Canis lupus familiaris: one gene and its partners. The protein of the gene in region 1 interacts with the protein of each later gene in a pairwise test. Links are inferred from orthologs where the notes say so. Each region holds a gene or a part of one and is shown in the gene's direction. Other genes may lie near its edges.

The links. The genes of interacting proteins can lie anywhere in the genome.
Region 2: the proteins of TRAF3IP1 (region 1) and SFR1 interact in a two-hybrid assay, tested with the Homo sapiens proteins (2 studies listed by BioGRID and IntAct). The link is inferred for Canis lupus familiaris from reciprocal best matches to the Homo sapiens genes TRAF3IP1 and SFR1.
Region 3: the proteins of TRAF3IP1 (region 1) and CCNA2 interact in a two-hybrid assay, tested with the Homo sapiens proteins (2 studies listed by BioGRID and IntAct). The link is inferred for Canis lupus familiaris from reciprocal best matches to the Homo sapiens genes TRAF3IP1 and CCNA2.

What each region holds. Positions count from the first base shown.
Region 1 is NC_049246.1:49,087,232-49,090,879, forward strand, and holds part of TRAF3IP1 (TRAF3-interacting protein 1), read left to right. Parts: intron 1-899; coding exon 900-976; intron 977-2,272; coding exon 2,273-2,332; intron 2,333-3,648.
Region 2 is NC_049249.1:16,628,738-16,632,485, forward strand, and holds the start of SFR1 (swi5-dependent recombination DNA repair protein 1 homolog), read left to right. Parts: upstream 1-1,214; 5' UTR 1,215-1,220; coding exon 1,221-1,235; intron 1,236-1,237; exon of another isoform or gene 1,238-1,281; intron 1,282-1,448; coding exon 1,449-1,563; intron 1,564-2,123; coding exon 2,124-2,245; exon of another isoform or gene 2,246-2,291; intron 2,292-2,888; coding exon 2,889-3,293; intron 3,294-3,748. UniProt on the Homo sapiens protein: Component of the SWI5-SFR1 complex, a complex required for double-strand break repair via homologous recombination. Acts as a transcriptional modulator for ESR1.
Region 3 is NC_049240.1:19,143,596-19,147,343, forward strand, and holds the start of CCNA2 (cyclin-A2), read left to right. Parts: upstream 1-1,044; 5' UTR 1,045-1,329; coding exon 1,330-1,542; intron 1,543-2,318; coding exon 2,319-2,562; intron 2,563-3,748. UniProt on the Homo sapiens protein: Cyclin which controls both the G1/S and the G2/M transition phases of the cell cycle. Functions through the formation of specific serine/threonine protein kinase holoenzyme complexes with the cyclin-dependent protein kinases CDK1 or CDK2.

The sequences.
Region 1 (3,648 bases):
TTGCCAGTTTGATATTATTAGGTGTATTAGTTTCATTTTGGTTTCAATTTTTAGGCATTGAAAAATCTGATTTTATTTATGTAAAATAATACATTTCTGAGGTGAAATGTACCAAACAATGTATATTCTGAGATTGGGGCCTCCACCTGCCCTCTCCCTGTAGGTAATGGTAAGACATATGGCTTATACTTTGATTTAAAAAACTGTAAGTTAGTACATGTGCCTGGAGTGTGTGTGTGCATTTAGCAGTATCTGCGTGTCTCTGTCTTGCTGTTGTGACTTGGCATCGTGTGTTGGCGTTCGTCCCCGAGCAGCGCAGACAAGTCATCCTCACTGCTGCTCACAGCTGAGCCCTCCTCTGCCATCCGGGTGCTTCGGGGCGTATGCAGCCAATTTCATATGGATGTGCATTTGCATGAGACAGTATTCTAAAGAAAATGTTTTGTATGATATTTACCCCCATGGGCAATTTTTTTTTTTTTTAAAGGAAGTTGAAGGCTCTTGAACTAATATAAAAGGAGTATTTGTGCTTAGAAACAGCTCAGAGTTGGCACACCTGTTTGTGGCAAGGTGGCTATATGTTTGAATGTCCATCTACGTGTCCTCATAATTCTTTTCTGTTTCCAATGTTTTTTTTTTTTTTTTTTTACCTTTGAGGAGCTGATTTCTTTGAAACACTCTGAAGTTTTTTTTTTTTTCACTCTGAAGTTTTATAGTTAATTTCTACCACCAGCTGTATTAGACTATTGTAGACTCCAAGCAAATAAAGATGATTTGAAGCCATGTAGAATATAGATAGAAAGAGGAAAAACAAGAAACTAGTGTTCTTGCCTCCCCTCTGCCCATTTAGAATAGAAGAGCTCTTTAGAGAATAACATAAAATCACTGATTCTCAACAGGAGGACTTGTGAAAAAAATTCTGGAGACCAAGAAAGATTATGAGAAGTTACAGCGGTCACCCAGACCTGGAGAGAAGGTAAGAAGTGATGCCTGCAAATGTGCTCATCAGCAGAGTCCGCTGACACACTTTAAAGCTCCCCGCTCCACCTCCTCCTTGGTTGGGAGGATAGAAAATTCTGGGCTCCTCTGGCGTGTCCTGGGTGGGGGCTCAGGAATCAAGGCCAAGGGCCTGTTCTGCTCTGATCCCGTGGCTGTCCCCTTCCTGCCTCGTCCAGTCCCTCTCCCTGCTTGCAGAGTCGGGAGGCTGGCCGCCTGGCCCTGGCTGCCTCCACACTAAGAGACCAGGGAGTTTTCAAGTCTGGCTTTTAAATCCAGGTGCTGCTTATCCCTGGCCTGCCAGCTGTCTTTCTTGCAGCTGTGGGATGTTGTTTGTTGGGACCCGCAGCTCCTGGCCAGCCACCGCCCCTGAGCATATGACCCTGGGGCAAATACTTGCCAGCCACATAGTAGGCCTCAAATGTCACAGCTACGTTTCTGTTATAGTCACTTTAAAAAATAAGAATGTATCTTCACTTACTGGTTTTGTAACAGAAAGATGTTTCTTGGATAGTTTCAGCAGCAGCCAACAATTCCAGGAAGTTTTACACACATGCACAGATAATTCTGCCTCAGATGTCCGGGTTTGTAATGACGATGTGGCTTGAAACAGCAGGGAGGGGACTCTGCAGTTGATAGCCACCTCAGGGGGGCCCCGGAACAGTCCCAGGAGAAGAGTGCTCCCCGGGGCTCTATCCACGGCAGCACCGTTGGCTCCTCTGAAAGAAGAATGGTCTTTCTGTGGTCCATTGTCTGTGCTGTGAAATTTTCATGTCATAGGCCTTTTCACAGGCCCGAGGGGCTGTCCTGGTGTCCCTGGCAGTGTTTCTGGGACCCAGTCGGAAACCGTGAGTGTGTCCCTCCAGGCTGTTAATGTAGGCAACCTTTGAAGCTTCAGTTGGTTTAAATTTTATAGCCCTGTTTGCTATGCGATGCACACAAGGTCTGTGCTTTAGGCTTTCGTCTGAAGAGTAAATTTCAGAGTACATACTTTGACTTTAGAAGATAAAAGGGAAAAATGTCCTTGAGTGGTGAACATTTGCTGCTTTAGAAAAGTACAGCTAATAAGTGCTTCAGAATCGGGGTGATGTGTATTGCAGACAGGGAACAAGGAGGCTGCTCTGCTCTGTTTTCCGTAGTACGCTCATAAACATCAGATTTAAATTTCACTGATTGGTCTTCTGAAAAGAGCTTAGAGTTTTAAAATAAAAGCAATTGAAACGTACAGGAAAAGTTGATGTTTTTTCTGCCTCTGCCCCAACCCCACTGTCCGTAGGGCAGCCACAGGGACGAACTTGGTGTGAGCCATACTTTAAACGCAGCTGCCTCTGCTCGGGTGAGTTTTCAGTGCTGCCCTGTTGCTGGCATGTGACGCAGATTGCTTTCTTTGGGCACCATTAAGTTCTGAGACCCTCCCTGTGTGGATACCTGGGGGTCTAGTTCAGTCGTCTTAATTGATGACTGGTATTCCAGTATTTGTTCGTTAATTCCTTTAATGGTGGACATAGGTTTCGTCAGCCTTCCACAGTTATAAACTCTGACGAACTCCTTTCATGTGTCTCCTGGCATGCAGATGCCAGTGTCTCTCGGAGCACCAGTCGGCAAACATTTTCTGAGAAGGGCCAGATAGTAAATATTTTAGGCTGATGAGCCGCGTACAGTCTGTTGCAGCTTCTCAGCTCTGCTGATGTAGCCTGAAAGCAGCCCTGGTGTAGACAGCAGTAAACCATGTGTGTGGCTGTGTTCCAGTAAAGCTTTATTCACAACAACAGGACCCAGCCTGGGGCTGGAGTTTGCGATCCTGCTTTAGAGTCTGTGTCCACGCTCAGAATTGCTGTGCCAGAGCACGTACAGAGCTTCGATTTCACCAGGTGCTGCCAAATTAGTCCTCTAAGTGGCTGTCCCCAGGTACTGTCCCAGTGGAACAAGAGTCTTCCACGTGTGCACCGTCCACAGGCAGCATGGTCAACTTGTGCATCCCCCTCCCCACCCCACCCTGCAGTGGCCCATGCCCTGCAGGCCTATGGGGTCCCTCCCAGCCACCTCCCGCCAGGGCCCAGCAGCTGCTCCTCTGCATTTGGCCACTGTGGTTGGTGTTTCCCAGAACTGCAGTTGAGTGGAGTCAGAGGGCATGTGCTCCTGCTTGGCCTGGCTTCTTTCAGTCATCACAATTATTTTGAGATCTGTTTTTCAGCAGGCATCAACAGTTCATTTCTTTTTATTGCTGGGTAGTGCACTGTCTGGATGCACCACAGTGTGTGTATCCATCTGTCAGGTCATGAGTGTTTGGGTCATTTCTAGTTTGGGTCTCTTGCAGGTAAAACTGTGGAGAACATTCACGTACGAGTTCCACGTGGACAAACACTTTGATTCCTTTGGGTAAATACCGAGGAGCAAGACCGCTGGCTCACATAGTCAGCGTATATTGATCTTTCCAAGAAACTGCCCAGTGTTTTCCAAAGTGGTTGTACCACTTATGTTTTCACCACGGCCTGTGAGAGTTTCGGTTTTTTCCTGTCCGCATCAGTGCTTGGAACAGTCACATTCTTTGTGTTTAATATGCATTTCCTTAATGGCTGATTATGATTCGGTCGTGACTGCTGATTCCTTCTCTTGGCTCTTTTCTTAGTATTGAAGTCTCCGTGTTACTAG
Region 2 (3,748 bases), on another chromosome or scaffold:
CTGCACTCGGTTGTCTTCAGGTTCCCGATTTCCGACTGCTCAGTCAATCCCTCAGGGCCCTGGCACTTCTGTGCTATGAGGTGTTTGTAGAGAGACCGTATCAACGTTTCCAAAGGCCATTTATGAGGGTTGAAAACACCAGCTCCTTAAAAATCCCCGACTTCCATGTGACTCAGAAATTACGAACCGTCTTTCCCCAAACCCAGGGCTCCGCCCAATTGACTTAACTTTGTTGTTGCACAGCAACAGACCATCGCCACCAGGAAGTGAGGATTATTTCTTTTTTTTTCAAACCTTTTATTTATTTATTTTTAAAAGTAATCTCGGGCAGCCCCGGTGGCTCCGCGGTTAGCGCCGCCTTCGGCCCAGGGCGTGACCCTGGGGACGGACCCGGGATCGAGTCCCAAGTCGGGCTCCCTGCATGGAGCCTGCTTCTCCCTCTGCCTGTGTCTCTGCGTCTCTCATGAATAAGTAAGTAAAATCTTAAAAAAAAAAAAAAAAAAAGTGTTCGCGGCAGCAAAGGCTGGAGAGGTGCGCAGCCGCACGGGCCTCCTGGAAAGGTCTGACACGTCGGAGTCTCCCCCCGCCTCAGCTGAGCCGACCGTGAACGCCAGCCACGGGCGGCTCCGCGGCTTCGGCCCCGCCGCGTGACACTGCGACGTTAGCTGCGGCGAGCGAGGCCCGAGGGGCCGCGGGGCACGCCCGGGCTTCCTCCCTCACACACAAACACAAAGAAGCCGGGAGGGGAAGGCGAGGCCTGGAACGTCGGCGAGGGAACCCGCCCCCCCGCATTCCCTCAGAAGCCGCCGCCCCTCCGCCCCATTCCCTCAGCCGTTCCCTCAGAATCCGTCCGTCAGTCATTCAGAAACTCAGCCCGGCCCGCCCCCAACCCTGCGGAGGCTGGCGGCCGCGCGCGCCCTGTGCCGCCGCGCTCCGGCGTTGGGCGGGGCAGAGCGCCGAGCGACTGTCGACCGGGCCAGTCACACGTCTCTGCGGGCCCCGCGTGACCCCGCCCGCTTCCGCCTCCTCGCCGCGCTGGAGACCGCGCACGCGCAGTCCGGCCGCTCCCGGGGCGCTGAGGCACGCGGCGCTGCGCGTCGGTCAATCGGACCAATCGCGCGTCTCTTCCGCTTCCCCTGCGGCCCCGCCCCCCAGGGCAGCGCGCGTTTTCCGCGCTCTGGGAGGTGGAGGAGGGAGGTAGAGCGCGGGCGGGCGAGAGGATGGGAGTGTGGGGGGTGGGCTGCTCCGGGGTCTGCGGGCGCGTCGAGCGGAGCTCCCTTTGTGCGGGCAGGGCGCCTCCCAACCCTTCCTCTGACCCGGGGGGCTCCCGAGGGCTAGTGTGGGTTTTCTGCTGTGGTGGAAGGAGGAGGAAAATGCCCCCCTCCCCCCCCCCCCAAAGTTGATGCCTTTGTTTGAGGAAACAAACTTGTGCCAACTCTCCTTTCCAGGGTCAGTTCGCTGCTCAAACGACACAGACGGGCGTACACTTACCTGCGCTCCTGTTCCTTGTTCCTCAGGCCCCGTGGTCATTGGTTCTAGTCACACAGCTTTATAGGGCTCAAGGTACTGTGACAGTTCTGATGATTTTTTCGGGTCAGGATTTGAGTTTGTATTTCCTTATAAATTAGAGTTCCTTAAGAATCCCAGAGTTAGGGGATCCCTGGGTGGCCCAGTGGTTTAGCGTCGCCCTCAGCCCAGGGCGTGATCCTGGGGTCTTGGGATTGAGTCCCGCGTCGGGCTCCCTGCACGGGGCCTGCTTCTGCCTCTGCCTGTGTCTCTCGTGAATAAATAAAATCTTAAAAAAAAAATGCCACAGTTAATTCTCCCACTCCGTACACGACAGATCTGAGGATATTCTAATGTAGATAAAACAAGTGGAGAGCGTTTCTATAGGGAGATGCCAGCTCGTTTGTCCTGGTAGTCACCACGTGGACCCACACGGTCGTAGGTAGGAAGGTAAATGGAAAACTGCAAAACGAGCAAGAATGGACCCCAACTAAGTGAAGTTGTGGCTGGCTTATTCGTGGAGGTGATATGTACAGCAGTAAAAAGTTCTTTTACAGAAACAGTATGTATTTACATTCTGATTGGTTATTTTTTGTTGTTATTTTTCAATTTTGTAGAGGTAAGCCAAGATTGCGTTTTCAAGATGGAAAGCCCATCCGACCCAGCCGTGGTTTCACCTAGCACTCCGCAGGCCTGTGCCAGTCCACCATCTCCCCGCCCAAGTAGTTCAAGAAAACAAGTATGCATATCCGAGCTCTTGCATGGGAGCTATTCTTTATTTCTAGGTATTGTGCCAGCAGTGGGTTTAATTCTACTGAAGACTGTTAATCAACGTAATGTGTAGATCAAAAAGTAGAGATTTTATTGACTATTAAGTAATTTTAGGCCTTTCTCCTATGATAATGAGTTTGAACTACCCCCACCATTTTCATCTGGTATCAATTATGTTCATTTAGTTTCAGATCAGGTTACTACAAAATTCCAAATTGAGCAAGTTTGAATCTGCAGTATTCTGAAGGTCTTTGGTGGCAGGGAGCTAGGTCTTCTCCTTAATTTGTAACTCTGAGGCACTCAGAAGTGTCAGGAGTGTGACAGTTGCTGAACAGATGTTTGGGATGACTGGGGTAAGTGTCTCAACACTGTTTTGGAAGGGTGCTGACTTTGCTAAAATAAAAAGAATAAAATTAATGGGGCTTGCAGGAATTGAAAGACATTTTGTGATGGTTACTTTAGATCCGTGGAAAGAGAAAGCCATCTAGTGGTGTCAACTATAGAAATGTTAAGGTCTTTATTTCACTATAGAAATGTTAAGGTCTTTATTTCTAGCAGATTTATTTACACAAGAATGTTTTTCTTGATTACTATTTTGTGCTCCTTTTCAGCCGATGAGTGCAACACTTAGAGAACGACTAAGGAAAACTAGATTTTCATTTAATTCCTGTTACAGTGCGGTAAAACGTCTTAAAGTAGAGAATGAAGAAAACGATCAGACTTTTCCTGAGGAACCTTCAATAGAGGAAAACTGTTTGGATTTTCAAGAAAATTTTAAACACATAGACAGTCCATTCAAAGAAAGTACATGTTTGAAAAATACCTTCAAGAGTATCAGTGCTTGTGAATCTAAGTCTCTTGATACTGAGTCACGCAGTGATCTCCAGAGTGACTTTGTGAATGAGGATCTTTCCAAACAAGGATTAAGTGAAGAAAGAGCAAAATTGGTGAAGCAGATTGAGGAGAAAGAAGATCTTCTTCGGAGGCTAAAACTGGTCAAAATGTATAGATCAAAGGTGAGAATAATTTCAGAACCACTTCTTATTTTTTAAAAAATAAATGATAGGAAAGTAATTTCAAAGAGAAAATAAGTTTATTTAAGCATAATAAACAATAAGCCAAATATTGAGAAAACTGTCTTCCACCAACTGTAACTCAAATGTAAGTCATAGATTTAGAGAAGAGGCCCCTAAACACCAGATTCAACTTTTAAAAAGTCCCAGCTATCATTTAATATGCAGTTGAAGTTTTTCTAATTTCCAGCCTGTAGCAATATTAGTTTCAAATGAGAGGCAAGCACAGTGAGACTGAAAGTGTGACAGCTGTCAGTGAATGATTTAAAAAGCTACAAACAGGCCACAAAGTATAATAATAAATATTTTTAGTAATAATCTTGTATTCTTCTAACTTATTAAAATGTATTTTGTTTGATAAGACAAAGAAGTTAAATTTTAGATTTCAACACAGATAG
Region 3 (3,748 bases), on another chromosome or scaffold:
ACTTGTTTTATCATGTAGAGAGGGAAATAAGACTTTAAAGCTACAGAAGTTTTATTCACTAATGTTAATTCATGTTTCTTCATACTCAGGAGAATATTGTGTTTGAAGATTGTTTTAAAATGGCGTAAAGATTATATAATCATGTTTTTAAGAAGGGCATCCTCATGAATTTGTCAGAAAACAAGGTCTCTTAATTCTTTACCATTATATTAATATATGCAAGCCTTGTTTATTAAATCTGAGAACTTGTTAAAGGCACATATCACTGAGAGTTTTATTTTAAAAGGTCATGTTGTTTTTATTTAAACAGCCTTCATTGCCAAATGGAACAAAATTCTGTATCTATGTCACTAGAAATTTCACTGGGTGCTTTTTGTTGGCTGGCACAGCTGGGAAAAGCATCAAAATTAGTGACTGTCTAGTTGAGTTTCTTCCAGTACATTACTATTTGTTTATATATATGTATCAACAGTAGTTAAGGTAGCACCTACCTAATCACATCTTCATGAGGTGAATTCGGAAGCATGACTGAAGAAACCCCTAAATGATACATGACAGTACAGTCCACACTCGAGGATCAGTAAGCAAGCATGTTAATGATTTACGCACATTACATAATCACAACAGCCATACGACATGTAGCATTTTACCCCCAATTAATAGATGAGAACACTGAGAATCAGAGACGTGTCATCACGGGGCCCGCCTACCAGGCCGGTTCGCGGCTGGGTCGGATCCGAGCTTGGGAGACCAGTCAGTCCAGCCAACTGAGGGCCCCACGGCCAGCGTTAGGCAGGCGCGGCCACTAACAATTGCTGGGGTTTGACTCCGTCGGTCCTAGAGACAGCCGCGGCCCAGCACCCTCGGGTCACCAAGTGGCCCAGTTTAGTCACTAGAAGTTCAGGCCCCGCCTCTTTGGCCGGCGCAGGCGTTTTCCCTCCCGCCGCCTTTCGGCGTTTCTCCGCCCCCGCTCCGTGGCCTTCACGGCTTCCTTCATTTGTCTGCGACCGTGTCGCCTTGAGTGACGTCAGGGGCATCGGCCCTTCCCATTGGCCCATTTCAATAGTCGCGGGATACTTGAACTGCACGAACAGCCGCCGCTCCGGCGGGCTGCTCGCTACATCTCGGGGGCGTCTTGAGCCCTCCACGCCCGGCAGTTCCTGCCTGAGCCTTTCGCAACGTCCTCGGAGCTGCGCGATCCCGAGCGAGCAGGCTGGCCCGGACTGCCGCGGGCGGCTGCGGCTGGAGCGTTTCTCGGCGGGGTCGGCGGGACGCAGTACACGCTGCTTGGCGCCGCAGGCTGATCCCGCCGCGACCCGGGGAGCAGTGATGTTGGGCAGCTCGGAGCCTGGGCCTGAGGCCCGCGAGGCGGGCTCGTCGCTGCTAACGTTGCAGCATACGGCGCTCCAAGAGGACCAGGAGAACATCAACCCCGAGAAGGCGGCGCCCGCCCAGCAGCCCCGGACCCGGGCCGGGTTGGCGGTCCTGAAGGCCGGGAACCAGCGCGTCCCAGCGCCGCAGCAGAGGCCCAAGACACGGCGGGTAAAGAGATGAACGATATCTGCAGGCGAGGAGGGCCGAGCGGGAGTTTTGCACGAGGTTTGAGCAGGCCGGGGAGCGTGGCGAGAAAGCATCTTCCGAGCTGTTGTAAGGGAGGCCTGGGTCTGCAGTCCCCTTGATGCCTAGTGTTCTGGCGCGGGGGATGCCACGTAAATCTTTCCCATAGCTCTCTTCGCCAGCGCTGTGTGTTTTGCTCCCTGTCTGCTCTTTATTTGGTATATTTTCCGATAGAATATGAGGGTCAGACCGAGCACCACGACGTATGTCCGCGCTTTCTTCGCCGCTTTAAACCCCAGGCACTGCCCTAGGATCTGGACCCCCTTCCTGCTCGCCATTTGGTTAAGATTACCTTTACTTTAGGAAAGAGTATAAAAAATAATTTTTTTTTACTAAATTCCGCCATTTTACCGGATTTGCTCTGTTGCTCCACCCTGGGGCCAAAGCGGTGAACCAACACCTCTTTGCCGGCTCTCCTAAACTTGTCATCATTCAGCCTGCTACCCCACTCCTCTTGTGGCCTTGATTAGTTTTGCATAAATGCATTTAGTGTGATTCTATAACTTATGTAGAAATGCCGCTAACGAACTTGAACATCCCTTTCTTCAGCTATTCAAACTTTACTGCCTGGATTTTGTCCCAGATAGTTTAATTTCCTTAGAGTATTTGGGAGTGAAAACAGAAACTGAGAACCGTAAGGGGAAGAAAGCAAGCAGAACTCCATTTAATAGGCTCAAAGCTAGCTATTCATTTCTTTTTAGGTTGCACCTCTTAAGGATCTTCCTATAAATGATGAACAAGTCACTATTCCTCCCTGGAAAGCAAACAGTAAACAGCCTGCATTTACCATTCATGTGGATGAAACAGAAGAAGAGACTCAGAAGAGGCCAGCTGAATCTAAAAAAACAGAACATGAAAATGTCCTGGCTTTTAATTCAGCTATTACTCTACCTGGACCAAGAAAACCGCTGGTACCTCTTGATTATCCAATGGATGGTAGTTTTGGTAAGTTTTAAAGAACATCTGTATCAAATCAATGTAATCCTAAAGTGATTATGGATTAATGATAGTTTCATTTTAAGACATTATTTTACCTGACCCTTACTATATAATGAATTTGGTGTAATGTAACAAAGTTTAGAAAGGGTATGATTCATCTCCGATCTCACAGCTCATACATTGACCTAGTGACCTATAAATCCTAACTGGGTGCTCCTTCCTTCCCATATTACTGCCAATCACATCAATTTAATTAGATCTCAAACCCTTATTTTAATCTGACCCTGGAAATATTTGCCTGCTTGGGAGAATAGATTTGAACCGTATTCATAAACTCACTGTGTACATACCACTTACGAGAGTATTTGAATAGGATACAGCTTTCAATATTGTGATATCTAACATCTCTTACAGCTTAAAATTTTCTGTAAATCCAGTCTGATACCAGAGAGGGACACTGTCCTCCTGTGAGGCAAGAGTTGAATCATGACTGCAGCTAACCACATATAAAATGAAGTAGCTGCTATAAAGCAAGCTCTGCCAACAGTTTATGCGTGCAACTTCTTTACCATACATAGATAGGTCTGTTGAGTCACTGGATAATTCATTCGTTTCATCTCATTTAGGTTTTAGTTCTGAGAAGTGGTCTGGGAATAGCAGGAAAATCCTTTGGAAATAAAGTAATTTTTGTATTTTTCTTGAAAATTTATAACAAACTTTAACCTTACAATGAAACTTGAAAAGAGTAATGAATGATATTCTTTGCCTCAAAAAGTAATTTAAAATTACAAAACATGAAACATTTGGTGATTATAGTGTTAATTTGTTTGAATTGCTCATAACAAACCTAATTTTAATTAACATTAACCCTGCTTTTAGTTATTGCTACATTGTTCTTTGAATATGTCAGACTTTGGGGTCAGCACTCTTAAGGTAAATACTACATAATACCACAAAACTTGGATTTTAACTGTCTTTGCAGAATCACTGTGCCATTTGCTCTTCTCTCATGGAATATGATTGATACTTAAACATAATAATACATTTTCAAGCACACTCTTTTAGTGGCCTAGCAGTATTTTCTCTTGTTGATTAAAACCAAGTGGACTGGGGATCCCTGGGTGGCTCAGCGGTTTAGCGCCAGCCTTGGGCCCAGGGTGTGATCCTGGAGTCCCGGGATCGAGTCGCGCGT